Linked DNA regions of Callithrix jacchus. The protein of the gene in region 1 purifies or fractionates together with the protein of each later gene. This does not show direct contact. Links are inferred from orthologs where the notes say so. Each region holds a gene or a part of one and is shown in the gene's direction. Other genes may lie near its edges. The genes, in order: SNRPB2, PHF5A, SF3B6, SNRNP70, SF3B5, RBM17 and SF3A3.

Region 1 (4,200 bases):
CCCAAGCTGATTTTGAACTTCTGGCCTCAACCAGTCCTCCTGTCTCAGCCTCCCAAAGTGCTGGGATTACAAGTGTGAGCAATTGCACTCAGCTATTTCTTCTAGTTTTAGATCTCTATAATAAAATGATGCTTTTCTGTGATCCCTTAACATTGTCTACACTTATGTGCATGTTCATATTTGTTTTACTGTTGCCTAGTTTTCCATTTCATTCATTCTTTTATCCAATACATGTTAATTATCACTTTTCTAATTAATAAGGGTACTTGAGTAAGCAGAGCAGACAAACCCCCACCCTTAAGAAATCTGTATTATTTTTAAGTTGTTGCAAATTTGGGTTTTTATTTAAAAAAATAAAAATTCCAAGCTGATAAAACCAATCTGACAGCTACTTGCCTCACCAATATATGCATGTTATAGCCAGAATTCAGAAATAACATTTATGATCATTTATTTTGTCTGGCAATGTGCCAATCAATTTACATTTATTTTAGCTCATTTAATGCTCACAACAACTAGAAGGAGGCACTATTAGGATACCTATTTTACAGATAAAGAAAGTGAAGGTCAGAGAGAATATAGTTAAGAGAAGGATACAAGATGAGGTTCCCCTAGACCCTTAACAACCATTTCATATTCCAGGTGATGCTTTGCAGACATCTGATGAATGGATGAATGAACGAATGCATGCACTTCTTGGAATTCTCATTCAGCTTGGCATAAACACTAACTCCTTAGATTACCCTAGAAAAATCTAGACATTTTGTGGGAAGAGAAGAGTGGGAAGGGTGGTAGGGAATTATTTTTTCGAGTGAGTTGAGGCAGATGATCTTAAAGATGACTGGGTTCTACCCGAGCATGGTTGCCATATCTGAAAGATGAGAATAGGGCAGACTCGGAGTTCTGTCCGCCCTTGGTAGCCTCTGAGATTCAAGCTCATCAGCAGAGTGTTGGAGGACAGTTCCTGCAGAGTCCAGGAATCAGAGGAGACTTGGAGGCAGGAGGAACTGGCTATCCTAAAGGTGATGTTAAACCCGGGCAGCCGGAGCCCAAAGAAGGGCGAAACCAGGACTAATTGCCCCACAGCATGAGGGGCAGCGCCTGTTAAATTACATAGGATTTGGAAAGGTGTTAGGCACTCTTGTGCGGGGTGAAGCTTCGCAGGGTCGTGGTACGGGAAATTATTCATTCCCTTCCCTATTTCCTCGCAGCACGGTCCCCACAACCCTGCTATCTTTCCCCATTCCCACTTCCGAACTCATCTCCTGCCCTCCAGGCATTACGCAAGCGCAGAGAGATTCCCAGCCTTGGCCGCCAGAGAGCCGGAAGCATCGATCGACTCCGTGCTCGGCTTCTAGACTTGTCGACGCTCGATTGAGGAGCCTGGCAACGTTACTTCCGGTGCCTGGCTCCGTTTCCTGCTGTTAGATCTAACGAGGGACGGCGTACGCCTTAGGTGGGTTCCTGCGCCTTCTACCTCCTTGCTCTTTCTGTTCTCCTGACTCCTCTGCCTTTCTTTTCCCCTGTTGCAGCTGGGAGCGGACGAAGCGTAAAGCTGAGGTGGGGACGCGTTTGCCCCGGGGTTCTGTCTTAGGGGCGAGAAGGGATGGAGACTGACGCGCGTGACTGGCTGGGGCCGGGCATCGCGTCTTTGCTCCCTTGGACTTCTTGCCGGGGCTTTGGGCGAAGGTGCTTGTGTCTAGAGAGGTGGGAGGCTTGCGCGTACGAAGTAAAGGATAATTCATGTCCATCTGCTTTTGCGAGGCGTGGGCCGTTCACTGAGCTTTCAGGTGTCTTCCAGCGGCTCCCTTTTGGTAGTGGCGGGTAATTCAGAGAGGCCCTGTAGCAATCAAGGTTATGTTCAAACTTCGCGGGAGACCCTGCAGGAACCTCCCCTTTCTTCCCCTACCTTCGGTTTGACCTCTGCCTCAATCACTTCCCTTTCGTCGTCTCCTTTGCGACTCCTGCCCCTTCTCCAGATTTCGATTTAGGGGGTCGCAAGGTTTTGAGGAGCGTTTCCGTAGCCCCGCTTGTAGGCTCTTACCTTGTCAATCGTCCAGTGCTGTTCATATACAGTGGATGCTCTGTAAATATTTGTGAGATAAAGAAACTTTGGGGTACACAAGGAAATCAAGCAAGTTCACACTTTGCAAGTAAAAACAATGTGGAAAATGCAATTGTGTGGTAGATGAGAAAAATGTAGAGAAAGCAAGGGCTGAATTTCCAGGCCTAATGCTTATTAGCTGTGTGACCTTAGGCAAGTCCCTTAACTGGTAATAGCTGTTAATAATTACTCCTAAGTGCTTACCGCTGATGCAGAACGTGCTAGAACTCATTTAGTCTTCTGAGTTCTGTTGGGTAGGTTCTGTTACCGTTCTCGTTTCACTGATGACATGAGGGATTAAGGAACTTTCCTCAGGCAAACAGATAGTAAGGAGCATAAATAGGATTTCACTTCACATCTGGCTGGCACTAGAATCTGAGTTTAACAGTCATGCCATACTGCTCTCATTGAGCTCCCTTCTTTTAGGTCGGTTAGAGGTAACCTTGGAATCCAGATAGCTTGGAGATACAAATTAAGTGATAGGTATGGAAGGACTTTATAAGTGCACCCATGAAATTGGCATGAAGTTGGCAAGCTTCATTAATGTCTAATCTTATGATTTTTACTGGGTGTACATTTGCTACTTTGTCATTTTTCTTCAAATCTGTATTTTTAAATTGTTTCATCGAGCAGGCGGAAAGTCAGTATCACTTGTCATAAGCGAAAAGTAAGTGTAAAAATAAATGTGTTGAATTAAATATTGTTACAAAAATCTGGCTAGGTATTGGTGCCCCAAGTTTTGAGCATGAGACACTGTTCTTTTGTATGAAAGGAAGGGCTAGTGGGTGCTGGAGATACAATAAAGATTACAGCCAAACTGACATTTTCTGACAATTGGGAATTGAAAGAGAAGTGAAAAGTTAATAATTCTTGTGTTGTGTCCTTATGCTACAGTCCAGTATAATTTAATCTTTCTTTTTTGTAACAGATTACTTACTGTTTTTGAAGAATTTAACGCAAACATGGATATCAGACCAAATCATACAATTTATATCAACAATATGAATGACAAAATTAAAAAGGAAGGTAAGTGCTTTTTAAAATACTTGTTCACAACTAAAATGTGTTTATTTACTACTGTCTTAAAAATCGTACTGCCTGAAAACCTCTCACCTCATCATCTTAGTGCCTGAAATAATGGTTTATCCCATTTCCTGTAAGGATGGGAAGGCTTTTAAAAAACAAAAATAGATAGGAACTGACACTGTGTTCAGTCTGTTGCTACTCATAGCTATAATGGTTTCATACAGCCAATGGGAATAGTATATGTTTTTTATAAATATTAATATAACTGTATACATAAGTGAATGGTGTTAGCAACTCAATAGAGTATACTTTGAAGACTTGTCATTATTTGATTCACCAGTGACTTGTTTCTTTTCTACTTTGGACAGAATTGAAGAGATCCCTCTATGCCCTGTTTTCTCAGTTTGGTCATGTCGTGGACATTGTGGCTTTAAAGACCATGAAGATGAGGGGGCAGGCCTTTGTCATCTTTAAGGAACTGGGCTCATCCACGAATGCTTTGAGACAGTTACAAGGATTTCCATTTTATGGTAAACCAATGGTAAGCTAATCCTATTATTTTCCCTTTAATCAAGAAACTAATGATACTAATGGTAGAGTCGATTTGCAAATATGCTTGAAATTGTGGCTGTTGCTTTCTGCTTTTAATTATGTATGTCTTGGTTTTACGTATTTTTATAGAAAAACAGTAGCTGTAGAGTTTAATTTACAACAGTTCAGATGGGCAAAAACAAAATACATTGAGTTGTAGAATGTTTTTATAAATGGCAGTCTAGGCAATATTCTTATCTCAAAAAGTTACAAATTAATAATAACCTGGAAGACTTGAAACCTGTTTATAAACTTGTAAAACATTATAAAAGCCATGAGTCAAAGAGGAAATTCAGTCTGAAGTTTTAGAAAATGCTAATAGTGAAATACTATATGTCAGAAGCTATACAGTCTAGAAGAAACAATGATTGAAAGAAAAATTATAGGGTTAAACTCATAAGATTAAGGAATAACAATGGAAATGAACTTGTTATTCATGGAGAGTTTTAAACTCAGGAATGACATAATGAGATTCACAT
Region 2 (4,204 bases), on another chromosome or scaffold:
TCACAGTCAGCTTTCTACATAGCTTCTAACAGGGAAGTCAAGGTCAAACTGGAGTCTCCCTATCCTTCCATATTTGACAAGCAACTTGTTATGAGCTCAAAACATTCATTCTGCATTCTGACAAATAGAAATGACAGTACCATGGTTCAGAAAGTTCTGTGAGGGCAAACTGACATAAACAAAAACTGAGTGGTGGTAGGGCTCATGCTTCTGTCACAGCACTTCGGTGACACTCAGAACCAGAACTTTCACCTACTCTCTACCAGTTTTATGACCTATCAGATAAGAAAAACCATCTCATTCCTATGATTACATGAATCAAATGATTTAACGAAGAATTAAAAGTTTTCAAATCTTGTGCAAAGGTGAGAAACTATCATTACTATATACTACGCAGGGGCCCAGAAGACACCCCCAGGCATTCCATGTTCCGCAGAGTCCTCAAAAGGTGGCACAGGGTCCTAGTTTCTTCTCCAGGCCCGGCAACTGCAGATGCTGTCGAGTCTCTGTTGCTATGAAATGGGAAGTGAGGCCTCAGGCACTGGGCCTAGAATGCTCAACAACGACCGCGCCCCCTAGTCACCTTGTCCTCACCTTGAGGAACCGAAACACACTCCACAGAAGCAGGGAATGCTCTCCTCAAGAAGAAGGAGGTGCCTCCGCTCCTCACCTGGCCGCCGCTGCGTGGGCCCACGCTTCTCGCGGGGCGGGGGACGGGGCCAGGAAAGCTGACAGTGTGGGGGACGCCTTGACCTAGGGCACCAGAGGAGCGGGCACGGGTGCTGGGCCCACAACCAGGACAGGTACAAGAAAAATTGGCCCCAGGTCGGGCCCGCCTCGCCCTGCCTCACCCACAGCCGCCGGCAGAGTAGGAGGCACCCCGCCCCCATGAACCTAGAGGTCCCTGAGCTTGCTCACCTGCAGCCGGGTCACCAGTAGGCTGTAGGGCGCCATTTTGTGCACTGACAAAGATGAGGTCGCGTGAAAGTGACGTCCCACACGGCGCTTTTAAAGCCTTTGGGCAGGGGCGTGCCCAAAATAATGGAGCGTCACGGTGAAGGCGGGGTCTCCCTAGAGGCGGCAGAACCCTGAGAACGCAGTGAGCGGAGTTCACGTGTAATGAACCGACACGCAAGAGGAAAAAGAGGAAATAAAACTGCCGAAAGTCACTTGCAGAAGTAAATACCAAGCACAAAGATGTTTATCCAATAAGAAATTTTCATTATCTCTGCCATCCAAATCTGGGAGTTTTTAAGACTTTTATGCACCTGCCAGGACCTGACCGCCCAGCGACAAAACTCTCGCGAGAGCAAGCGGGCCCTGGTGCAAGGATTGTAAACTGACGGAAGCCTAGAGGACCAATCACAACGACGTAGAGGCAGGAACTATAGGGGTTAAGGATCCAACGGAAGTTCCCGAAGCTTCCGGCGGCCGGCTTCGTTGGGAACTATGGCTAAACATCATCCTGATTTGATCTTTTGCCGCAAACAGGCTGGTGTTGGTGAGACTGCGCCTTGCCCCCGGCTGTCTGGGTAGGGGTAGTGTTAGGATCTGGGGGCTGGGGGGGTTTCCATCTCTTCCTTAGGGTCTAGCCTCTCAGGCGCCACGTTTCCCGCCTCTCAGGCATAGAGTGTTGTAGGAGCGCGCAGGTTTGTGGCCTCTGAGGGCGGGGGTGCGCGTGCTGGGAGCCCCAGGCAGGCGTCGGGGTTGGGGTCTGGGCCAAGTCTAGAGAAACTTAGTTTGCTAAGGACTTTGGAAGACATTCAGAAGGATACTCGGGCTATGAGTTTGCTTTATGTGGAAATTTGTAATGATAAAATGGCTATCCACAGGGCTCACTACAGTCCTTGTTCATGTTCCTGTCCCTAGGTCGAGGATGTACTTCCCCTCTTTGTCAAAATCTTTAATTGTACTTTTTACTATCTTTGATTTTGCAGCCATCGGAAGACTGTGTGAAAAATGTGAGTGGAACACACCGTCCAACAACCCACCCTTCCTACTCCCAGTTTCTGTGGAGCCAGCCAAAGTGCCACAAAGGGGTCTTTGAGTAGATGTGCCTGGATCTAGATGCTGGACTTCAACCAAAGGCCCCTCCATCTCCCCACTGCCACTTGCACATATAATGCTGTATCTATCTCTAGCTTTCAACAGGAAGAATCGCCAGAGTAGCGTGACCCCTCCCCAACATACAACATTTTGCCAGCAATTATATAGGCTTATCATCTCCCAAGTGCTTTTCTAAGTTCTTTCCATATGTTAATTGATAAACTTTTGTATGTGTTGAGGGGTTTGAGATGGATGCTGGATAAACCAAGTTTGTGATTCCCAAGAGGAGGGCCCTAAAGTCACTGTCAAAAGGAGACTAGTATCTTTCCCCATGGCAGGAAATAGCAGAGGACTGAAGAACTTGCTAGTGAGCATGACTTCATTCTTTTCCTTGCAGGTGATGGCAAGTGTGTGATTTGTGACTCCTATGTGCGTCCCTGTACTCTGGTTCGCATATGTGATGAGTGTAATTATGGATCTTACCAGGGGCGCTGTGTGATCTGCGGAGGCCCTGGGGTCTCTGATGCCTATTATTGTAAGGAGTGTACCATCCAGGAGAAGGATGTAAGTGTACAGCTTTCCATCTGACCTTTCCTCCTTTTATTTAATAACACTTTGCCATCCACTGCAATCTCCTATGGTCTATGGAGATTACTGTGTTCATCTAGTCATCTAGGTTATAATTTCTTCAAGTTCTGTGAGTCAAACTGGGTGTAGTCCAATAAAAGGCAGTTATTTTGCATCAAGGGGAAAATGCAAGGTAAGCAAATCTGTGTCAAGACCAGCAATTTGGAGAGCCCTCTCTCTATTCTTTTTATGTCTCTCTGTGATTATTCTTATTCAGAAATGACATCTGCTCCAGGCGCGATGGCTCACGCCTGTAATCCCAACACTTTGGGAGGCTGAGACAGGTGGATCATGAGGTCAGGAGTTCCAGACCAGCCTGACCAACATGGTGAAACCTTGACTCTACTAAAAATACAAAAATTAGCCAGGCTTAGTGGTGTGCGCCTGTAATCCCAGCTACTCAGGAAGCTGAGGTAGGAGAATCACTTGAACCCAGGAGGCAGAGGTTGCAGTGAGCGAAAATCGTGCCATTGCACTCCAGTCTGGGCAACAGAGTGAGACTCTGTCTCAGAAAAAAAAGACATCCAGTTGGGGATGGTGGCTCACACCTGTAATCTCAGCACTTTGGGAGTCCACAGCAGGAGAATGACTTTAGTCCAGGAGTTCAAGACCAGGCTGGGCCATACAGCAAGATCCCATCTCGACAAAAAATAATAATTTTTATTTGAGACAGGGTCTCTTGCTCCGTGGCCAGGCTGGGTGCAGTGGCATGATCATGTGCAAGGCTCACTGCAGCCTTGACTTCCTGGGCTCAAGCAATCCCCCCACCTCAGCCTCCCAAGTAGCTGGGACTGCAGGCATGCACCACCACACCTAGCTAATTTTTTTTCTTTTTTTTTTTTTTCCTTTTTTTTGAGATGGAGTTTTGCCCTTGTTGCCTAGGCTGGAGTACATTGGCGCAATCTTGGCTCACCACAACCTCCACCTCCCGGTTCAAGTGATTCTCCTGCCTCAGCCTCCCAAGTCGCTAAGATTACAGGCATGTGTCACCACACCCAGCTTTTTTTTTTTTTTTTGTATTTTTAGTAGAGACAGGGTTTCTCCATGTTGGTCAGGCTGGTCTCAAACTCCTAACCACAGGTGATCCACCTGCCATGGCCTCCCAAAGTGCTGGGATTAGAGGCATGAGCCGCCATGTTCAGCCTGGCTAATTTTTTTGTAGAGATGGGGTCTCGTTTTATTGTCTGGATTGGTCTCAAGCTCCTGGGCTCAAGCAATCCTCCTGCCTGAGCCTCCCCAAGAGCTGGGATTACAGGCATGTAGCCATCATGACTGGCCAAAAAAATATTTTTCATTAGTAGGGTGTGGTGGTGTGCACCTGTGGTCCCAGCTGCCTGGGAAGCTGAGGCAGGTGAATCACTTGAGCCCAGGAGGTCAAGGCTGCAGTGAGCCATGTTCATGCCACTGCACTCCAGCCTGGGTGACAGAGACCTTGTGTGTTTATTAGTCCTATACAGTGCATGTTGTGTCACAGCCACTCATTAATGTCTCAAATCTATCATTAAGCACTATTTGGGTATATATCATGACA
Region 3 (3,132 bases), on another chromosome or scaffold:
AGCTCAGTGCCCTATACATGGTACAAATACATGCTTTTAAAAGTTCCAATTGGCCAGGCACGGTGGCTCATGCCTGTAATCCCAGCATGTTGGGAAGCCGAGGCAGGCAGATCATGAGGTCAGGAGTTTGAGACCAGCCTGGCCAACATGGTGAAACCCTGTCTCTACTAAAGATAAAACAAATTAGCCAGGCATGGTGGCGGGTGCCTGTAATCCCAGCTACTCAGGAGGCTGAGGCAGGAGAATCACTTGAACCCAAGAGGTGGAGGTTGCAGTGAGCCGAGATAGCGCCTTTACACTCCAGCCTGGGCGACAGAGCAAGACTCCATCTCAAAATATATATATATATATATATATATATATATATATATATATATATATATATATATATGTTCAGATTATAATACAGCTCTCAAGATGTGAGGCTGATAATTAAGACTGGGACACTTGAGATGGAGGGTCTTTAAAGTGGGGTTAGTATCTATCCCTATGCTGGTTCCTAAGAAGATGTAAGAGGAAGAAAGAGAGTTGCTTTGTTTTGAGCTTCCTGGAGAAAGTATGTGTGAGAGAATTGATAGGAAGTAGATCTCCACCTTTCAAAGGCATATTAGCATCTGCCTTATGTGTGGCACTATAGGAGTAAATGAAGTAGGCATAAGATCACCTTTGCTCTTAAAGAACTGAAAATCTTGTTAAGTTTTTAAAAGTCAAAAGTCTGAAAGTTGTTAAGACTTCCCAGATCCTAAAGAACATTCTAAAACCCGAGATCAGGCCCACGTAACCTGACAAAGTGAGCATACTCATTGACACTGGCACCCTCCAATCACCCCCAGCACCCTGCACCTTTTCAATGTTATAGGAAGCAGAAGCTTGAGCAGGGCCCGGACTATAATCTTGTCCTAGATCAAGTCTAGGCATGTGCCTCCACTTCCCATGGCTCCACTGCTTTTATTCAACCCTATGTAGGGACTGTGGCAGATGGAAAGCCAACAATCTTAAACCTCATTCCACGGTTGCACTGGGTGGTCAGAACACAGATGGAGGCAAGGGGGCCATCTTGTCATCCAGAGCATGAACTGAGTGGGAACTCTACCCATTGTCCCCACTGACAATCACATGGCCAGCTGCTGCCTACAATTTAGTGTTCTGTTGCTCCTCACACTTCTCTACCTCTCTCAGAGGAAGCTGATGAAGTGAAGGAAGGAAGTGGCCAGGAATACCTACACTAACAGCAGCCCCATATCTATGAGTAAGGTCTAGTTTCCACTTCCAGTCACCTTCCAGCATTCTGCCCTTGCTCACAGATAACCCTATCTATAAGCACACTTCCACTCCCATCTTTGCAGAAGCCTAGCCCTTCTCCCCAGCCATACAGCTGTATCATGCATTAGAGTTTGTATTAAAAAGGCATTGAGTTGTATTAAAAATGAATGTAGACCAGGTTTGGTGACTCATGCCTGTAATCTCAACACCTTGGGAGGCTGAGGCAGCTCAATCACTTGAGGTCAGGAGTTCGAGACCAGCCCGGGAACAGGGCAAAACCCTATCTCTACTAAAAGTACAAAAATTAGCTGGACATGGTGGCACATGCCTGGAGTCCCAATTACTTGGGAGGCATGAGAATCACTTGAACTTGAGAGGCAGAGGTTGCAGTGAGCTGGGATCATGCCACTGCACTCCAACCTAGGCAAGAGTGAGGTTCCATCTCAAAAAAAAAGCAATGTAGTGCCAGACAGGGTGGTAAGAAGCTGAGTTCTGGGTAGTAGCTGTGTTCCTAGTATTCCTGATATAGCAGTAAGCTTGACCTATAGATGTTTTACTTAAGATAAAAACAAAAAACAAAATTACCGAATTCAAGAAATTACAGGCTTATCTAGTTATCTATGCGTGTTTATTTCCTCTTATGGTTTCAGGTTGGTTTCAAAATATTTAAATTAAAAACATATTTCAGTTTACTGTCTTTAGAAGACAGTTACCAGTTTAAAAGACAGTTCTGTTATTCAACTCAATGCTCAGGTAAACGTATATCTTAATTAAGTTTGATTTAACTCTCCAGGGGGAACACACCTGAAACTAGAGGAACAGCTTATGTGGTCTATGAGGACATCTTTGATGCCAAGAATGCATGTGATCACCTATCAGGATTCAATGTTTGTAACAGATACCTTGTGGTTTTGTACTATAATGCCAACAGGGTAAGTATAGCCAAGTTCTCCTTGTATGGTGATCTCATTTGAAAATTAGTGTAGAACTGTGCTGTGACGATATATGTCTACTGTGACTATTTTTTGGCTAATGCTATTGGTGAAATTTATTTGGCTGTAGATCGGTAATTCAACTTTGGTGCTTACTGCATTTCCAGGCATTTCAGAAGATGGACACAAAGAAGAAGGAGGAACAGTTGAAGCTTCTCAAGGAGAAGTATGGCATCAACACAGATCCACCAAAATAAATGTTTTCTACATTTTCATTTTGGACTGAAACCATGAATGACAACTACCATCTTTTCCCTTTTTTTCCTTTTTAATTAATACTAAATATTGTGATTTCTTATTTTAGGTTCAAAATGACCTTGAAACTTTGATACATATCAGAATACATGATATTAATAAACCTGTTGCTTTTTGTGAAACACGTCTGTCTTTTCTTTTGAACTTTCCCTCCCTGTTTGATACCAGGAAAAAAATAGTTGAAGCTTATCAGGAATTGTAGGTGCTCCTAGGGAGTCCGAGTTTCTTGAAAACAGGACCTCTTTATATTCTTAATGCCTCCGGGGTCCAGTGCAGTGCTTAGCCGTCAAAGGAACTTGCTGTTTATTGAATGTCTATTAATAATGGATCTTTATAACAACTCAGTGAAGATAGGTATTTGCATTTTGCAGGCGAGGAAACCAAAGCTCATGATGTTGGGTGAATGAATAAAATGCTAACCTACAAAGCTGGTGTAATAGCAACCAAGCCTTTACATTTGAATGATGCTTGCTTTATAGTTAACAAAATACCTTTGTCAGTATGGGTACCCTTGTCTTAGAACAGAGGTCTATTCTAGAAATGGTCATTTAGATGGTAGTACACTGTTAGAAACTTAGATTTGCCTCTCTAAATTTTTTTGAAAATTATTATGGGTATATAA
Region 4 (4,190 bases), on another chromosome or scaffold:
ACAGGCATGAGCCAATGCACTTGGCATTTTTTTTTTTTTTTTTTTTTTGGAAAGTGAGTCTCAATTTGTTGCCCAGACTGGAGTGAAATGGCACGATCTCAGCTCACTGCAATCTCTGCCTCCTAGGTTAAAGCGATTCTCCTGCCTCAGCCTCCTGAGTTGCTGGCCTTTTTCTTGAAAATTAGTCATTTGAATTTTGCAATAATTTCTATAGTTATTAAACAGGCTATTGAATCCATCCACAAAACTTAAAATGCAATACTTAACAACAGGGCCTTAAATAAAATAAATGCCAGCTCTCTGATCTCACGGCCAACAACCTGAGATTCCTGCCATCTGGTCCCAGTTCAGGACCTTTGCGCCTGCTGTTAACCCTCCCCGTCCCCCGATCTTGCTTCTATCTGGCCTTTGTTCAAATGACACTTCAGAGGAGCCTTCCGTTATCACCCTTTATAAAATGGCCTCACTCTCACTTCCCATCCCTTTACTCTGCTCTGTCCTTCTTTATTATGCTGGTCACCATCTCAAATTATTATTATTATTTTAAGATAGAGTGTCGCTCTTGTCACCCAGGCTGGAGTGCAATGGCGGTGATCTCTGCTCAGGGCAACCTCTGGCTCCTGGGTTCAAGCGATTCTTCTGCCTCAGCCTCCAGAGTAGCTGAGGTTACAGGCTCACACCACCATGCCCGGCCAATTTTTGTATTTTTTTGTAGAGACGGGGTTTCACCATGTTGGCCATGCTGGTCTCGAACAATTGATCTCGGGTGATCCGCCTGCCTCGGCCTCCCAAGTGATGGGATTACAGGAGTGAGCCACCGGGCCCAGCCCTTAAACTATCTTTATTCAGTCAAGCGCTTTTATTGTCTCCCTCAGTACAATGTAAGCCCAAGCAGGAGAAGACTTTGCTTTAGTCACGTGCTGTAGCCCCCAAAGCCCAGACAGTGCCTAGCACATACGAGATGCTCGATGAGCAGTTGATTGAATAGATTAGACATCAACGCAATCAGGCTATTCACTTAGGGACTCTTTGCTAGGCGGCGGAGAGGTACGTTACAGTACTCTACACAACACGCATGCGCGAAAAAAATCAGGGAAGTGTGATCGGGAAAGGGGCGGAGCGTCAGAGAGAGTCTCGTGGACATAGGCGGTTCGGAGCGGAAAGCGGCAGGTGGAGGGGCGGCTTGGGGCTGAGCGCGCGCGCGCAGCGCAGACGCCAGCTCCAGGAGACTGAGGTACTCAAGGTGCCCGAAGGCGGGGTAGTGACCTCGCGCGTGCGCTTTGCCAGCGACGGCTCCTGGGCCTGGTGTGTGGGTAGGTCTTGGCCTCTCGCGGCGCATGCGCAGTGCTGACGGCGGAGGGATTTCAGGTCGAGACCCACCCCCTGCTCCAGTCGGTAGCTGAGGCCGCGCGGGTTGTTGAGCAGCGGCCTTGTGCGCTCGCTGCGCGGGCAAGGGAGTCAGGCAGACGCGGACGCCGTCGGAGTGGAAGCCAAAGCGGAAGTTCTTGTTGCTGAGGGGCCGCCGCAGCCGCCCCGAGCCTCCGGACCGACGCCAGACCCAGGAGGGCGCCGCGCGGCGAGTGAGTGTGGCCGAGTGGTCCGGGGTGCTGGGCCGCTACCCACAAGCCCCTGCGGTGGGCCCCGGTACTTTTACCTGCAGCCAGGCCCCTTTGCCGCGTCCCCTGCTGCAGGTCCCTTCTGCATCCCTTTCCCGAAACCCGAGCCCTCTGCGCACCCACGCCTGCTTCCCGTAGCGTCCTAGGTCCCCTACCCACAGGCCCTTGCGGTGTATGGCCTTTTTTCTTTTTCGTCTTTCCATGTTGTCCTGGACCTTTACCCATAATTCCTTTCGTCTTGGGGGCGCCCAGGTCTGTTACCCACAGGCGCTTGGCTTTGGGGCTTCGCTGCTTATGTTTCTCTTTGCCCGGAGACTTCAGACCTCCAGGCCTCTGCAAACCGCATCTCATAATTTGTCCTCCAAGATACGAGACGAGCAGCCAGCCACAACTGCTCTGTGCCTCCTTTCTCGGGTCCTTGATTCCCCCAGAAATCCCCAGGGAAGCTCTCCGCCACACAGCTCGTGGGTCAGGACTCTGAGACCTCACTGCTCAGGAACCCTTTTCCAGCCTTTGTTTTTTGTTTCCTTTACGGGCCTGATTTTCACCTCCACCCCCACCAAGAGATGCCCTTTTCTCTTCTAGCGTAGGACGGTTCTCTGCCCTTTCAGAGCCTCTTCGAATTCCGAGACTTTACTCCTGTTTTCTCTCTTTTTCTTTTTTTTTTTTTTTTTGAGAGTCAGGGGACAAATAGGGGCTTTCTCTGTGCAGACCCAATCTAACCTAAGGCTGTCCTGCTTCTGCTCTCAGACTTGGCAAGATGACCCAGTTCCTGCCGCCCAACCTTCTGGCCCTTTTTGCCCCCCGTGACCCTATCCCATACCTGCCACCCCTGGAGAAACTGCCACATGAAAAACACCACAATCAACCTTACTGTGGCATTGCGCCGTACATTCGAGAGTTTGAGGTGAGTTCACTGAGCAGGCCAGGAATGGTTTGGGTTGTGGGGTGCAAGGATTGGATCTGGGAGTCCAGCCTCTGACTGGATTTGCTAGCTGTGTGATTTAAGCGACTGGCTTCATCTTTGTGATCCTCAGTTTCCCTGTTTTAAATGGGGTTGGAGCCAGGTGTGGTCGAGTGCACCTGTAGTTCCAGCTACTCAGGAGGCTGAGGTGGGAGGATTGCTTGAGCCCAGGAGTTGGAGGCTGGATTGCTTTGTGATTGCGCCACTATACTCCGGCCTCGGTGACAGAACAGGACCTCATCTCTTAAAAAAAATTTTTTTTTTTTTTTTTTTAAAGTGGACTTGTGGCCAGGTGCGGTAGCTTATGCTTGTAATTTCCAGTACTTTGGGAGGCTGAGGCGGGTGGATCACCTGAGGTCAGGAGTTCAAGACCAACCTGGCCAACATGATGAAATCCTGTCTCTACTAAAAATAGGAAAATTAGCTGGGCATGGTGGTGGGTACCTGTAATCCCAGCTACTCGGGAGACTGAGGCAGGAGAATCACTTGAACCCGAAGGGCAGAGGTTGCAGTGAGCCCAGATGGAACCGTTGCACTCCAACCTGGGCAATAGAAAGTACTGTCTCCGAACAAACAGACAAAGTGAGGCTGGGCTCAGTGGCTCACACCTGTAATCCCAGCACTTTGGAAGGCTGAGGCAGGTGGATCACCTGAGGTCAGAAGTTCAAGACTAGCCTGGTCAATATGGTGAAATCCCATCTCAACTAAAAATACAAAACTTAACCGGGCGTGATGGTGCTTGCTAGTCCCAACTACTTGGGAGGCCGAGGCAGAAGAATCACTTGAACCCGGGAGGCAGTCATTGCAGTGAGTCGAGATTGTCCCACTGTACTCCAGCCTGGGCAACAGAGTGAGGCTCCCATTTCAAAAAAAAAGTGGGGTTGATGGTATACCTTTTGTAGAATTTCTGTGAGAAAGTTCAGTTGAGTAGTGGTTGAGGATTCACACTTGGCTTGCACCATTTAATAGCTCTGTGAGTTTGGGCAAATGTGTATCTTAATGCATTGGTTTCTTTATCTTTAGCAAGGGGATAGTGGTAGCACCCCTCATACTGTTGGTGGAGAATTAAATGGCAATGTGTATGTCAGGGGGCTTGGCATCAAGCAGGCAGCCTATGTCGGCCTTTGCTACTCTGTTTACTACTTTTATTGTTAATAAGATGGTGTTCATAAAGGGCTAGCACCGAGCGTTGGAGGGCTTAAAACCCCAGACCAGGATCTTAGTTCTGCACCTTCAGGGTAAATGACTTCAGGAATGAATGACTTAGGCTCCTGGACCTCTCTGTTTTTATTTGTGAAATTGGGATGACAATGGTCATCTTGTAGGCGTATCTGAGGACACCTGAGGAAAGCTGGCACACAGCCAGAAGTTACAAGAACATTCTCGCATTGGGTAGGAATGGGCAGCTGGAGGTGGAGGGAGTTGCAGAGCAGAACTTCTTAGATAGGACGGGCGTGGTGGCTCACACTTGTAATCTCAGCACTTTGGGAGGCTGAGGCAGGCAGATCACGAAGTCAGGAGTTGGAGACCAGCCTGGCCAATGTAGTGAAACTCTGTTTCTACTAAAAATACCAAAACTACCTGGGCGTGGTGGCACGTGTCCGCAGTCC
Region 5 (2,603 bases), on another chromosome or scaffold:
CAGAATAAAACTATTTTCAAGTTCTCTCTCTCTCAGTAGTGTTCCTTCTCTACGGTTGTAATACAATTATTTATCAAATTCTTGTTTGGGATATATATATATATAATTTTTAAAGAGGATCTCGTTTTTTTCAGGTAGCCTCTATCCATATGAGGAAGTTATTAAACTAAAAATTAGGATATAAAGCAATAATAAGGAAGAGATGGATAATCTGCAAAGAGGAAGAAGAATTTACATCTGTCTGGAGCAGCCAGAGAAAATTCTAGGGAGATGCATTTGAGCTGCCTTTAAGGCAGATGCGTTCACCAAGGGAACAGACATTCCAAGTAGAGGGAACAGCTTGCACAAGGAACTGGGGAATGGGCACAACAGGTAACATGGAGAAGTACAGTTGTCCCTCAGTATCTGTGAGTGATTGGTTCCAGGACTCCATGGATACCAAAACTAGAAGATACTCAAGTCCCTGATATAAAATGGCTTGTATTTGCATATACACACATCCTCCCGTATAGTTTTTCTCTAGATTATTTAACAATACCCAATACAATGTAAATACTATGTAAATGGTTGTTATATTGTTTAGGGTATAATAACCTTTAAAAGTCTACACTTCGGTACACACTAATTTTTTTCCCAAATATTTTCAGTCGGGTTGGTTGAATTCACAAAACCCACTGAATGGAAGGGCCAAGTAGGGTGCCGTGAGGCATTGGAGGGAGGATATCAAAATAACTGGCTAGAGAGGAAGGAGGAACTTGAGGTGGAGCCGGAATGTGAGGAAATGGGTACTGTACTTGCTCACCAAACACCCTGGTTAGAGCTGAAATAACTCTTTGATGCTACAAACTCCTAAGCGACATAGTTGGGACCAGAACTCGCGCCTACTGACTTCTGGGTAATCCATCCCGGGTAGTGAAGGGACTGCCGTGCCGCCACGATAGGTCCGAAATACATAAGAGTTTATTTTCGGGGTTGCTCGTAGTCCACTCCTATTTGGGTTTCCCATTTCCCATCAGCCCCAAGCCAACCACGGATGCTTCCCGCCTCGCAGACAACACCCTCCACTAGGCACCCATACCGCTTTTAAAAGGCGACCAGAAGTTCCGGAGGCTGGCGTGCACGAACTCCAAAGACCAAGACCACAAGTCCCAGCATGCAACGCTCCCGGTTGAAAAGGGCCTCTCATAGCCACTAAGCGGACCATCATGCAACGCTCTATGAAGGGGCACGGCTCACTACAGGGGCGGCACACTTGTAGCGTCGCATACCTCGGCAACTCCAATTCCGTGACTGATGTGCTTCCGCTTCCGCTTCCGCCTCTGAGCCCTATGAGCGAGAGTTACACTACTTAGTCTCAGTGACGCCATTCTTCTGCGACCGCGTGGGCCCGGAGGTGCTGTGCGGTGTCCTCACTCCCGCTTGAAACGGTAGAGCGGTGACTTGTTTCCTGCGGCCTCTGACCTCGGAGCGAAGGGGAAAGCGGCGAGATGACGGACCGCTACACCATCCACAGCCAGCTGGAGCACTTGCAGTCCAAGTACATCGGCACGGGCCACGCCGACACCACCAAGTGGGAGTGGCTGGTGAACCAACACCGCGACTCGTACTGCTCCTACATGGGCCACTTCGACCTTCTCAACTACTTCGCCATTGCGGAGAATGAGAGCAAAGCGCGAGTCCGCTTCAACTTGATGGAGAAGATGCTGCAGCCTTGTGGACCGCCAGCCGACAAGCCCGAGGAGAACTGAGACTGCCTTACCAACGCCGTGCGCGGCGCCTCTCCCAGCGTTCCTCCCGTTTGCCAAATCCCTCGAGTATTCCTGCCTTCAAGGGACCGGCTCTCTCCATGGCTCCTGCGTCCCGCGCTTTCTGCGTATAGAAGTGCTTGCCGGGGAAGTCCCTCCTGACCCGCCTTCATGTGGACACTTTGGGACAGCATTGAGAGACCAGCAGGACCCCTGAGAACTGTGCTGGCGGAGAGGTCCTGCAGCCGGCAAGTCTCTGAGAAGAGGGCGTGGCGCTGGAGTGAGATGGGATTTGGCGTCTCGTTTTTGCCTAATTGATTGTCATTGGCTTTTTCCATAAAGTTTAGAAATCGTTCAGTCTCTTGGTGTGAACTTCCTGTGTTAGGGTGGAGGGCTCCGGAAAGAGCTCCAGGCACCGAGGTTCGCGAGAGTCCGAGTGGGAAATGGGTTTGGGTGAGGGTGCGAATGCCAGTGTCTGTGGCCAGGCACTTAGATATGCCTGTATACCTTTATAGTGTTCCCCGACTGCCACTTCCTCCAAGAGCTTTATTTTCAGTCTCACAATGACTTCAGTTTTGAAGTTTGCGGTTAATGTATCCCATCTTTTTCTTCTGTTTTAAAAATCTTTGCTGTCATTGTTTTCCCTAGCCTCTTTAAATTACATCCTTTCTTTTTCCTGGGAATTTGAAACCATGTCTCCAGAAATGACAAGATGGCAAGCGAGTTCATCCATTCTACATTCAACAAATATTTGTTGAGCTCTATGTGACAGGCATTTTCCCATGTTCTTGGGTATACATTAATGCTGGTGGTGGAGAAAGGTCAAACACTGTAGGCATAGCAAGCAAATGTTAGAAG
Region 6 (4,036 bases), on another chromosome or scaffold:
TTCAAGCAATTCTCCTGCCTCAGCCTCCCGAGTAGCTGGGATCACAGGCATACGCCACCACGCCCAGCTAATTTTTTGTATTTTTAGTAGAGTTGGGGTTTCACCATGTCGGCCAGGCCGCTCTCGAATTCCTGACCTGGTGATCTGTCTGCCTCGGCCTCCCAAAGTGCTGAGATTAGAGGCGTGAGCCACTTTGCCCGGCCAGCACTTTCTTTTATACAACATTTAGTTGCACGATGGTTTGTGTTCCAATCTGAGCCTTTTTTTAATAGCTAAGCTTAGGTCTATATTTCTTCCTGTGAGACATTTGGTCTTGTTCTGTCATATAGTTTGGTTATGCTTTCTGTTTTGTAACTTTTTCAAATATTTCCCTACGTTGCTTTGTTTGTTTTGCTGTGGTTGTGTGTGTGTGTGTGTATTATTTGAAAGATTTGTAGTTTTGCTCTGCGTCGCCCTCAGAATTATGCCATCCCATGACGTCCTTAATCCTCTATTTCTTTGGTTTTCTTTTGCCTCTCCATTCTATTTCTTTTTTTCCTCTCATTTCTCATTTTCTTAATCACTGGATTTTAATGGATTATAGTATCTTGGTATATTCCTTCGGACTAAGACGTCTGCTTAAATCTCTACTATTTGACTTATCGGCTTGAACTCTATTTGACACCCAATTACAGATGTAAAAATCACATTTTCCCGAAGTCCCACGTTCCCTTCCCCTCCCTACTTCTGTCAGCGACGTTGTTGTTAAAGATCGAGGCTTTATAGCATTGACATTCTTTTCTGTACCCCAATCGCGGCATCTGTTTCCTTAATCTTATGCTCAACCCCGTGCTCCTTGCCATCCTTTTGCCAGCATCTCGGCTATGCAGATTTATTTTCAACTTTTTGCTTTTGAATGAATGAGATCGAGAGACCTGGAGACACTCACTCCCCCACCTCCCCCAATCAGAAAGCGCGGCCTCGGACCACTTCTCCTTCTTACCATCTGGGGGCGCTGCCGCGCGTTCCTCAAACTTTGTGGAATTTCGAAAACGTGCACCCAGGCGACACCTCTTGGTGGTAGAAGAGGACGCCTGCTGAGGGGAGCGTGCAGTGCGGTCCTCCCGCGGGCAGGGGGCAGTGCGGCAAGGAGCCCTCGGCGCAGGCGCAGAGGCCAAAGCAGGCCTAGGCGCAGGCGCAGGCGCAGGCGCAGGCGCGGCGCGCTCTCCCGGCAGCCCGCGCTCTCTGACCCCGCGCAGCCGAGCGCCCTGAGGACTCAGCGAAGGGTGGGCGCCGCCAAGGGCTCCTGCCGCCGGCGGGTTTCCGCGGAGTGCCGCCCGGCTCCGCGCTGCCGCCGCCGCGGCCCATGGGCAGAGTCGGCTGGGCGGGCCGGGTAAGTCGCGCCCTGGCGGCCCCAGGGGGGCGGCCTGGCGGGACCCGAAGCGGGCGCGCCTTCCCGGGAAGCGCTGGACGCGAGGCCGCGGCTTTAGGCCGCGTCGCGAGGGGTGGGGGCCGGGCCATCTCAACCCGAGCCTCCGCGGGTCTCAGTCCCCGCAGCGGGCCCTGGCCTCTCCGCTCGGCGGTGGCCCGGTACACTCCGCCCGCCGCCGCCTCGGGTGACCCGGGCTCTGGCCTGCTCCCTCTTCCCCTCCTCCTCCTGTCTGCCTCGGGCTCTTCGGCCCTGAAGAGCGTTTCGCCTCCACTTCGTGCACCACGTCCTGACGAAGTTGCCCGGTCCCTAGACCCGGAGCGTGTCCCCCAACCTGGCCCCGCACAGTTGCCTCTCTCCCGGGCTCAGAGAAAGGAGCCGATTCTTCCCCGGCTCTCAGAACTGGGAGTGCAGACGTTGGCGTTTCCCAGACTCCGGAGCTCCCCGAGACGGGAAGGCAGCCCGGACCCCGGCGTCGCCTCGGATCGTGCCGTTTGAGCGGTGTTTCAGCGCGCACTTCCGACCCCAGGCAGTCCTTGAGCTTCACCTATTGCCCAGAGGATGGGAAATGATGAGAATGCAGGTGGAGCGAGGTTCTGCCCTTGCTTGCAGGAGTTTGGTTTCTGGGAAAGCAGGCGTGGAAACCCAGGCTCGGTTTGGTGAAGGACGCGAGATCTTGAGAGAGGAGGTGATGCTTATGTTGAGTCTTGAAGGTACTTTGTTAGATGTGCGAGGTGGGAAAAAAGGCTCCTGGCGGAGGAAGTCACGGCGAAAGTAGCAGAAGTGAAGCGCCGTAGTGCGTTCTGGAAGCTGCAGGTGAGGCAGAGAGGAAGGTTTCAGGAGGGGGTGCTGTGTTTCGAGGAGTCGTCCGGTCAGAACATGGAGGTTTCTTGAGGAGCAGCAAAGGAGCGCCATTGAGGATCCTTATTGCTAGAGCCTGGCATATGGATGGAAAATAGGATATTCTAGATCAGGGCAGGATACGCATATACTCAAATAGACGGGTACATGAGCACTGGCTCCCTGCAACAGATGGAGTTTTTAAAGGATGCAACTCAGTTTCCAGATTTCTAGTTGGTAAAGGCTGCAGACATTTTGATCGTAATGACAGCTTTTAGGGATGATGGGGTAACAATTTATGAGCTAAACGAGAGGGCTTTATTTTTAGAGTTAGTTAGGCAAGGTGCTGCGTGCTGTCCAGTTTGTAACAGCAGGTTGTGCGATCGTGGACCTCTGCGGAACCAAAGACAGCCTTTCTGGAGGCTCTTGAGAGGATTGTTGTACACTCCCAAATGCAGCTTTATTTAAAGTGGATTTCTTTTTACCTGGTTTGTTTTAAATTACCTTCATTCTCCTCTGCATATGAGTTTTTCAGACCTCCCCGCAGCAGGGAGCAGATGATCCCAGGTTAGTCATCTCTCAAGCCTTCCATCATAGTCAATAGTGAAGAATGTTCTGTTACGCTCCTAAATTATAGGTGACTCTATTGGACTGTGTTTGCAATTCTACCCGATGGCATTTTGAGAGTAGCAGACTGTGAGAATGAATGGAAAGATTAAACTGTCAAGGGCAGATGAAGGTATGGGGAAAATTTTTTTCAGTTCTTTAGAAAGTTATGGTAGATCTTATACATGAGGTAGATGCCTTTTTTGCCGTATTTTTTGTGGACATCAAAGTGCACCACCCCTCCTGTTCCTTTCTGTGTGTATTTGCCATATTCTTTTTTGTTTCTCCTGAGACGGAGTCTTACTGTATGGTCCAGGCTGGAGTGCAGCGGCGCAACTGGCTCACTGCAACCTCCGCTTCCGGATTCAATGATTCTCTGCCTCGGCCTTGAGTAGCTGGGATTACAGGCGCTCGGCATCACGCTCAGCTTAATTTTTGTGTTTTTAGTTGAGATGGGGTTTCACCATATTGGCTAGACTGGTCTCGAATCCTGACCTCAGGTGATCCTTCCGCCTTGGGCTCCCAAAGTGCTGGGATTACAGGTGCGAGCCACCTCGCCCAGTCTTACCATATTCCTTAGGTTTCAAAGAGGTATGCTTTGTTTTATGATGCATGAATATCTATTTAGTAATAGAAATATTTCTTCCTAACACGCCTGCTTCTTTAGGTGCTCAGAACTCAGACCTTGACCTACTATTGGTTGTGTGGTGGTGGTAGTTTTTCTCTCCTTAATTATGGCTTACAACTTAAATTTTATCCTACTTATCTTAAGTTATGTCCTCAAAAAGCAGATCTGCAGTGGCCAGGTGCTGTGGTTCACGCCTGTAATCCCAGCACTTTGGGAGGCCAAGGTGGATGGATTACCTGAGGTCGGAAGTTTGAGACCAGCCTGACCAACATGGAGAAACCCCAACTCTACTAAAAATACAAAATTAGCCAAGTGTGGTGGTACATGCATCTAATCCCAGCTACTTGAGATGCTGAGGCAGGAGAAATGGTGGTTGCAGTGAGCCAAGATTGCAACATCATACTCTACCCTGGGCAACAAGAGCAAAACTCTGTCTGAAAAAAAAAAGCAGATTGTGATTTAAATAGGTGCATTAACATTTTCCATCCATTCACTAACATGTTTAGAAAATATTAATAGAGCCACTTGCAATGTTCAAGCATGGTGCTAAGCTA
Region 7 (3,500 bases), on another chromosome or scaffold:
AGACTCAAGGCAAGTTAGAATGTGGTCATGTTGGTGAGGAAAGGAGAAGTCCTGTGTAAGGAAATATTTTATATTTTTAAAATTTTATTATTAGTATTTTTTAGAGAAAGGTTCTTGCGGGCCAGGTGTGGTGGCTCACACCTGTAATCCAAGCACTTTGGAGGCCAAGGTGGGCGGATCACCTGATGTTGGGAGTTCAAGACCAGCCTGACCACCAACATGGTGAAACCCCGTCTTAAAAAAATAAATAAATAAATAAAAATTAAAAAAGAAAAAAGAGAAAGGTTCTTGCTCTGTCACCCAGGCTGGAATGCAATGGCGGGATCATAGCTCACTGCTTCCTCAAACTCCTGGGCTCAAACAGTCCTCCTGCCTCAGCCTCCTAAGTAGCTGGGACCACAGATACACACCACCATGCTTAGCTAATTTTTAATTATTTCGTAGAGACAGGGTCCCACTGTGTTGCCCAGGCTGATGTCAAACTCTTGGCTTCAAATGATTCTCCCACCTTAGCCTCTCAAATTGATGGGATTGCAGGTGTAAGCCAGGAAATATTTTAGAGTCAGAATAGATGAGACTGTTTTCTGTTGTTCTGTAATAGCCTCAGATGAGTAATTAAGCAAGTTATCTAAAACCTTAGACTTTTTTTTTTGGGATCAGGTAGGGCCTGCTGATAAGGAGTTCTGATATAAAGGCAAGATTTTCCTTTATTCTAGAAGAAAGAACCTTATCCTTGGAAGTAAGGGGTCAGCAACAGGAAATTTCCCCTTCTTATTCTGCACTTTTTTTTTGAGACAAGAGTTTCACTCTTGTTGCCAAGGCTGGAGTGCAGTGGTGTGATCTCAGCTCACAACAACCTGTACCTCCAAGGTTCAAGCAGTTCTGCTTTAGCGTCCTAAGTAGCCAGAATTATAGACATGCACCACCATGCCCGGCTAATTTTTTATTTTTAGTAAAGACAGGTTTTCTCTATGTTGGTCAGGCTGATTTCGAACTCATGACCTTAGGTGATCTGCCCGCCTCGGTCTCCCAAAGTGCTTGGGATTACAGATGTGAGCCACCACGCCTGGCCTCTTCTGCACTACTTTTTTCTGACTTTTCATTTATGGACCTGCCTTAGGAACAGCGACATCTCACGCATGAAAATGTACAACGCAAGCAAGCAAGGACAGGAGAAGAGCGAGAAGAGGAGGAAGAAGAGCAGATTAGTGAGAGTGAGAGTGAAGATGAAGAGAATGAGATCATTTACAACCCCAAAAACCTGCCGCTTGGCTGGGATGGCAAAGTAAGTCTCAGCACTACCACTTTCTCCCCATTCCCCATTTTGGAAGCAGATACAGAGTTGAGTAGGCTAACACTTCATGATGGTTTTGTTTTTTGTTTTTGTTTTTCTTTTTTAGCCCATTCCCTACTGGCTATATAAGCTTCATGGCCTAAATATCAACTACAACTGTGAGATTTGTGGAAACTACACCTACCGAGGGCCCAAAGCCTTCCAGCGACACTTTGCTGTAAGAAATTCAGAGCCATTTTTCCTGGGAATTGAAGTGAAAACATTAGACTTTTAGAGAAGAGAGTAGGAGCAGCCCATGTGGACCACTGGTGTCCAGAGCTGAAGGGAATCAGAAAAGGATAGTTTTAAAATCCAGCCCATGGCATTTGACTTTTGGCCCCAGTATTAGTGTTAATACCTGAGACAGTTTCTGGAGGAATTCTACCACTCTGCTCTTTGAACCTCATTTGGTTTTCTCTTGCCTGCTCTTAGACTTCTCTCTTTGTTTTTTGCTAACATTTTAGATCAATTTTGATTTGGTTATTTCTCTACCCCATTGCTAAAACTCAGGACTGAAAATGGAACTGACTGATCTCTTTTGGATCTTAAATGGGCCTTTGCCTCTTTGAGAAAACAAAGGGGCTGTTATTTATCAAGCTATTCTTGAGACGGTATTGTTCGGGTGGTGCTACTCTAAGTGGGCTCTCCTCTAACTGGACTCTACTTTCAGTTCTTAGACTTTGGAAAGAAATATTACAGAATGGAAAAGATTTATGCTAGACCAAGGATGATGAAATTTTTTTTTTTTTTTTTTTTTGAGACGGAGGTTCGCTCTTGTTACCCAGGCTGGAGTGCAATGGCACGATCTCGGCTCACCGCAACCTCCGCCTTCTGGGTTCAAGCAATTCTCCTGCCTCAGCCTCCCAAGTAGCTGGGACTACAGGCGCGCACCACCATGCCCAGCTAATTTTTGTATTTTTAGTAGAGACAGGGTTTCACCTTGTTGACCAGGATGGTCTCGGTCTCTTGACCTTGTGATCCACCCGCCTTGGCCTCCCAAAGTGCTGGGATTACAGGCTTGAGCCACCTCGCCCAGCCCAGGATGATGAATTTATATGAACTCCTCTCCCCATCTCTGAGTCATGCATATTACTAATTGATCCTGGGTCTTTTTTGCTGAGCCCATGAGTGAGTTCTGAATATTTCTCAGCACCACTTCCAATGATTGGAGTTGACATCCAGGTTAAAACCCACATGCCATTTACCATCCCTCAGCCAAAACTGCCATCATGTTTTACCACATCATTATGCCTAACAAAGATGATGCTGACCTGCCATTAGTAACCTGTATTCATGCAGGTGTTCAGAGTTGCTGGGGCTTTGGTAGGTTCTCCCGCAGTGTGGGACATATAGTTAGAGTTGTGATGTTTTCCTGTGATCCTCACCCAGAAATTTTACATGTAAGACTACTGTCTCTAGAATCTAGGTTTACAACACAGCCCAGTGAGGCAAACAGTGCAATGCTGTTTTGAAATACCAGCCTTTTGTCAGTCACAGCCAGCTGTTTACAAACATGAAACACAAGGAATGCTGCCTTTAGGTGGAGTCCTGGAAAGGGCCATGTTAGCATTTATGAGTAGAATGGAGTTAGTGCTCTGTGTTCAGCTATTCCCATTTCACATGGTCCTTTTGCATCTCTCTTCTCCCAGGAATGGCGTCATGCTCATGGCATGAGGTGTTTGGGCATCCCAAATACTGCCCACTTTGCTAATGTGACACAGATTGAAGATGCTGTCTCCTGTAAGTAAGGTTTATTTACTGTCTCCTAGGCCAGTACAAATGGCCTCTCCTTCAAGTCAGCATCCTAATAACCTGTGTATCTGGGATTAAAGGCAGTAGGTTGTAGATATGTAAAATCTAGGACAGTTGTATAATTATTGCATTTTTTATTTTTTTGAGACAGAGTCTCGCTATCTATCATCCAGGCTAGAGTGCAGTGGCATGATCTCAACTCACTGCAACCTCCGCCTCCCAGGCTCAAGTGATTCTCCTGCCTCAGTCTCTTGAGTAGCTGGTATGACAGGTACCCGTCACCACACCCAGCTAATTTTTTTATTTCTTAGTAGAGACAGGGATTCACCATGTTGACCTGGCTGGTCTCAAACTCCTGACCTCAGGTGACCTGCCTGCCTTGGTTTCCTAAAGTGCTGGAATTACAGGCATTAGC

The links.
Region 2: the proteins of SNRPB2 (region 1) and PHF5A purify together in Homo sapiens (affinity purification with mass spectrometry; 4 studies listed by BioGRID and IntAct, with this or other methods). This does not show direct contact. The link is inferred for Callithrix jacchus from reciprocal best matches to the Homo sapiens genes SNRPB2 and PHF5A.
Region 3: the proteins of SNRPB2 (region 1) and SF3B6 purify together in Homo sapiens (affinity purification with mass spectrometry; 4 studies listed by BioGRID and IntAct, with this or other methods). This does not show direct contact. The link is inferred for Callithrix jacchus from reciprocal best matches to the Homo sapiens genes SNRPB2 and SF3B6.
Region 4: the proteins of SNRPB2 (region 1) and SNRNP70 purify together in Homo sapiens (affinity purification with mass spectrometry; 5 studies listed by BioGRID and IntAct, counting the BioPlex papers as one, with this or other methods). This does not show direct contact. The link is inferred for Callithrix jacchus from reciprocal best matches to the Homo sapiens genes SNRPB2 and SNRNP70.
Region 5: the proteins of SNRPB2 (region 1) and SF3B5 purify together in Homo sapiens (affinity purification with mass spectrometry; 3 studies listed by BioGRID and IntAct, with this or other methods). This does not show direct contact. The link is inferred for Callithrix jacchus from reciprocal best matches to the Homo sapiens genes SNRPB2 and SF3B5.
Region 6: the proteins of SNRPB2 (region 1) and RBM17 purify together in Homo sapiens (affinity purification with mass spectrometry; 3 studies listed by BioGRID and IntAct, with this or other methods). This does not show direct contact. The link is inferred for Callithrix jacchus from reciprocal best matches to the Homo sapiens genes SNRPB2 and RBM17.
Region 7: the proteins of SNRPB2 (region 1) and SF3A3 purify together in Homo sapiens (affinity purification with mass spectrometry; 6 studies listed by BioGRID and IntAct, with this or other methods). This does not show direct contact. The link is inferred for Callithrix jacchus from reciprocal best matches to the Homo sapiens genes SNRPB2 and SF3A3.

Annotation. Positions count from the first base shown.
Region 1 is NC_133506.1:23,839,124-23,843,323, forward strand, and holds the start of SNRPB2 (U2 small nuclear ribonucleoprotein B''), read left to right. Parts: upstream 1-1,400; 5' UTR 1,401-1,456; exon of another isoform or gene 1,457-1,560; intron 1,561-3,032; 5' UTR 3,033-3,066; coding exon 3,067-3,130; intron 3,131-3,498; coding exon 3,499-3,671; intron 3,672-4,200. UniProt on the Homo sapiens protein: Involved in pre-mRNA splicing as component of the spliceosome. Associated with sn-RNP U2, where it contributes to the binding of stem loop IV of U2 snRNA.
Region 2 is NC_133502.1:192,270,243-192,274,446, reverse strand, and holds the start of PHF5A (PHD finger-like domain-containing protein 5A), read left to right. Parts: upstream 1-1,404; 5' UTR 1,405-1,449; coding exon 1,450-1,532; intron 1,533-1,869; coding exon 1,870-1,961; intron 1,962-2,443; coding exon 2,444-2,610; intron 2,611-4,204. Other genes in the region: ACO2 (aconitate hydratase, mitochondrial), read right to left, coding at 919-954.
Region 3 is NC_133515.1:91,183,868-91,186,999, forward strand, and holds the end of SF3B6 (splicing factor 3B subunit 6), read left to right. Parts: intron 1-2,056; coding exon 2,057-2,195; intron 2,196-2,362; coding exon 2,363-2,452; 3' UTR 2,453-2,632; downstream 2,633-3,132.
Region 4 is NC_133523.1:42,899,742-42,903,931, forward strand, and holds the start of SNRNP70 (U1 small nuclear ribonucleoprotein 70 kDa), read left to right. Parts: upstream 1-1,390; 5' UTR 1,391-1,584; intron 1,585-2,366; 5' UTR 2,367-2,376; coding exon 2,377-2,523; intron 2,524-4,190. UniProt on the Homo sapiens protein: Component of the spliceosomal U1 snRNP, which is essential for recognition of the pre-mRNA 5' splice-site and the subsequent assembly of the spliceosome. SNRNP70 binds to the loop I region of U1-snRNA.
Region 5 is NC_133505.1:150,851,934-150,854,536, reverse strand, and holds SF3B5 (splicing factor 3B subunit 5), read left to right. Parts: upstream 1-1,367; 5' UTR 1,368-1,487; coding exon 1,488-1,748; 3' UTR 1,749-2,103; downstream 2,104-2,603. Other genes in the region: uncharacterized protein LOC118153004, read right to left, coding at 1,269-1,367. UniProt on the Homo sapiens protein: Component of the 17S U2 SnRNP complex of the spliceosome, a large ribonucleoprotein complex that removes introns from transcribed pre-mRNAs.
Region 6 is NC_133508.1:7,706,231-7,710,266, reverse strand, and holds the start of RBM17 (splicing factor 45), read left to right. Parts: upstream 1-1,236; 5' UTR 1,237-1,372; intron 1,373-4,036. UniProt on the Homo sapiens protein: Splice factor that binds to the single-stranded 3'AG at the exon/intron border and promotes its utilization in the second catalytic step. Involved in the regulation of alternative splicing and the utilization of cryptic splice sites.
Region 7 is NC_133508.1:74,545,737-74,549,236, reverse strand, and holds part of SF3A3 (splicing factor 3A subunit 3), read left to right. Parts: intron 1-1,120; coding exon 1,121-1,285; intron 1,286-1,400; coding exon 1,401-1,511; intron 1,512-2,982; coding exon 2,983-3,073; intron 3,074-3,500. UniProt on the Homo sapiens protein: Component of the 17S U2 SnRNP complex of the spliceosome, a large ribonucleoprotein complex that removes introns from transcribed pre-mRNAs.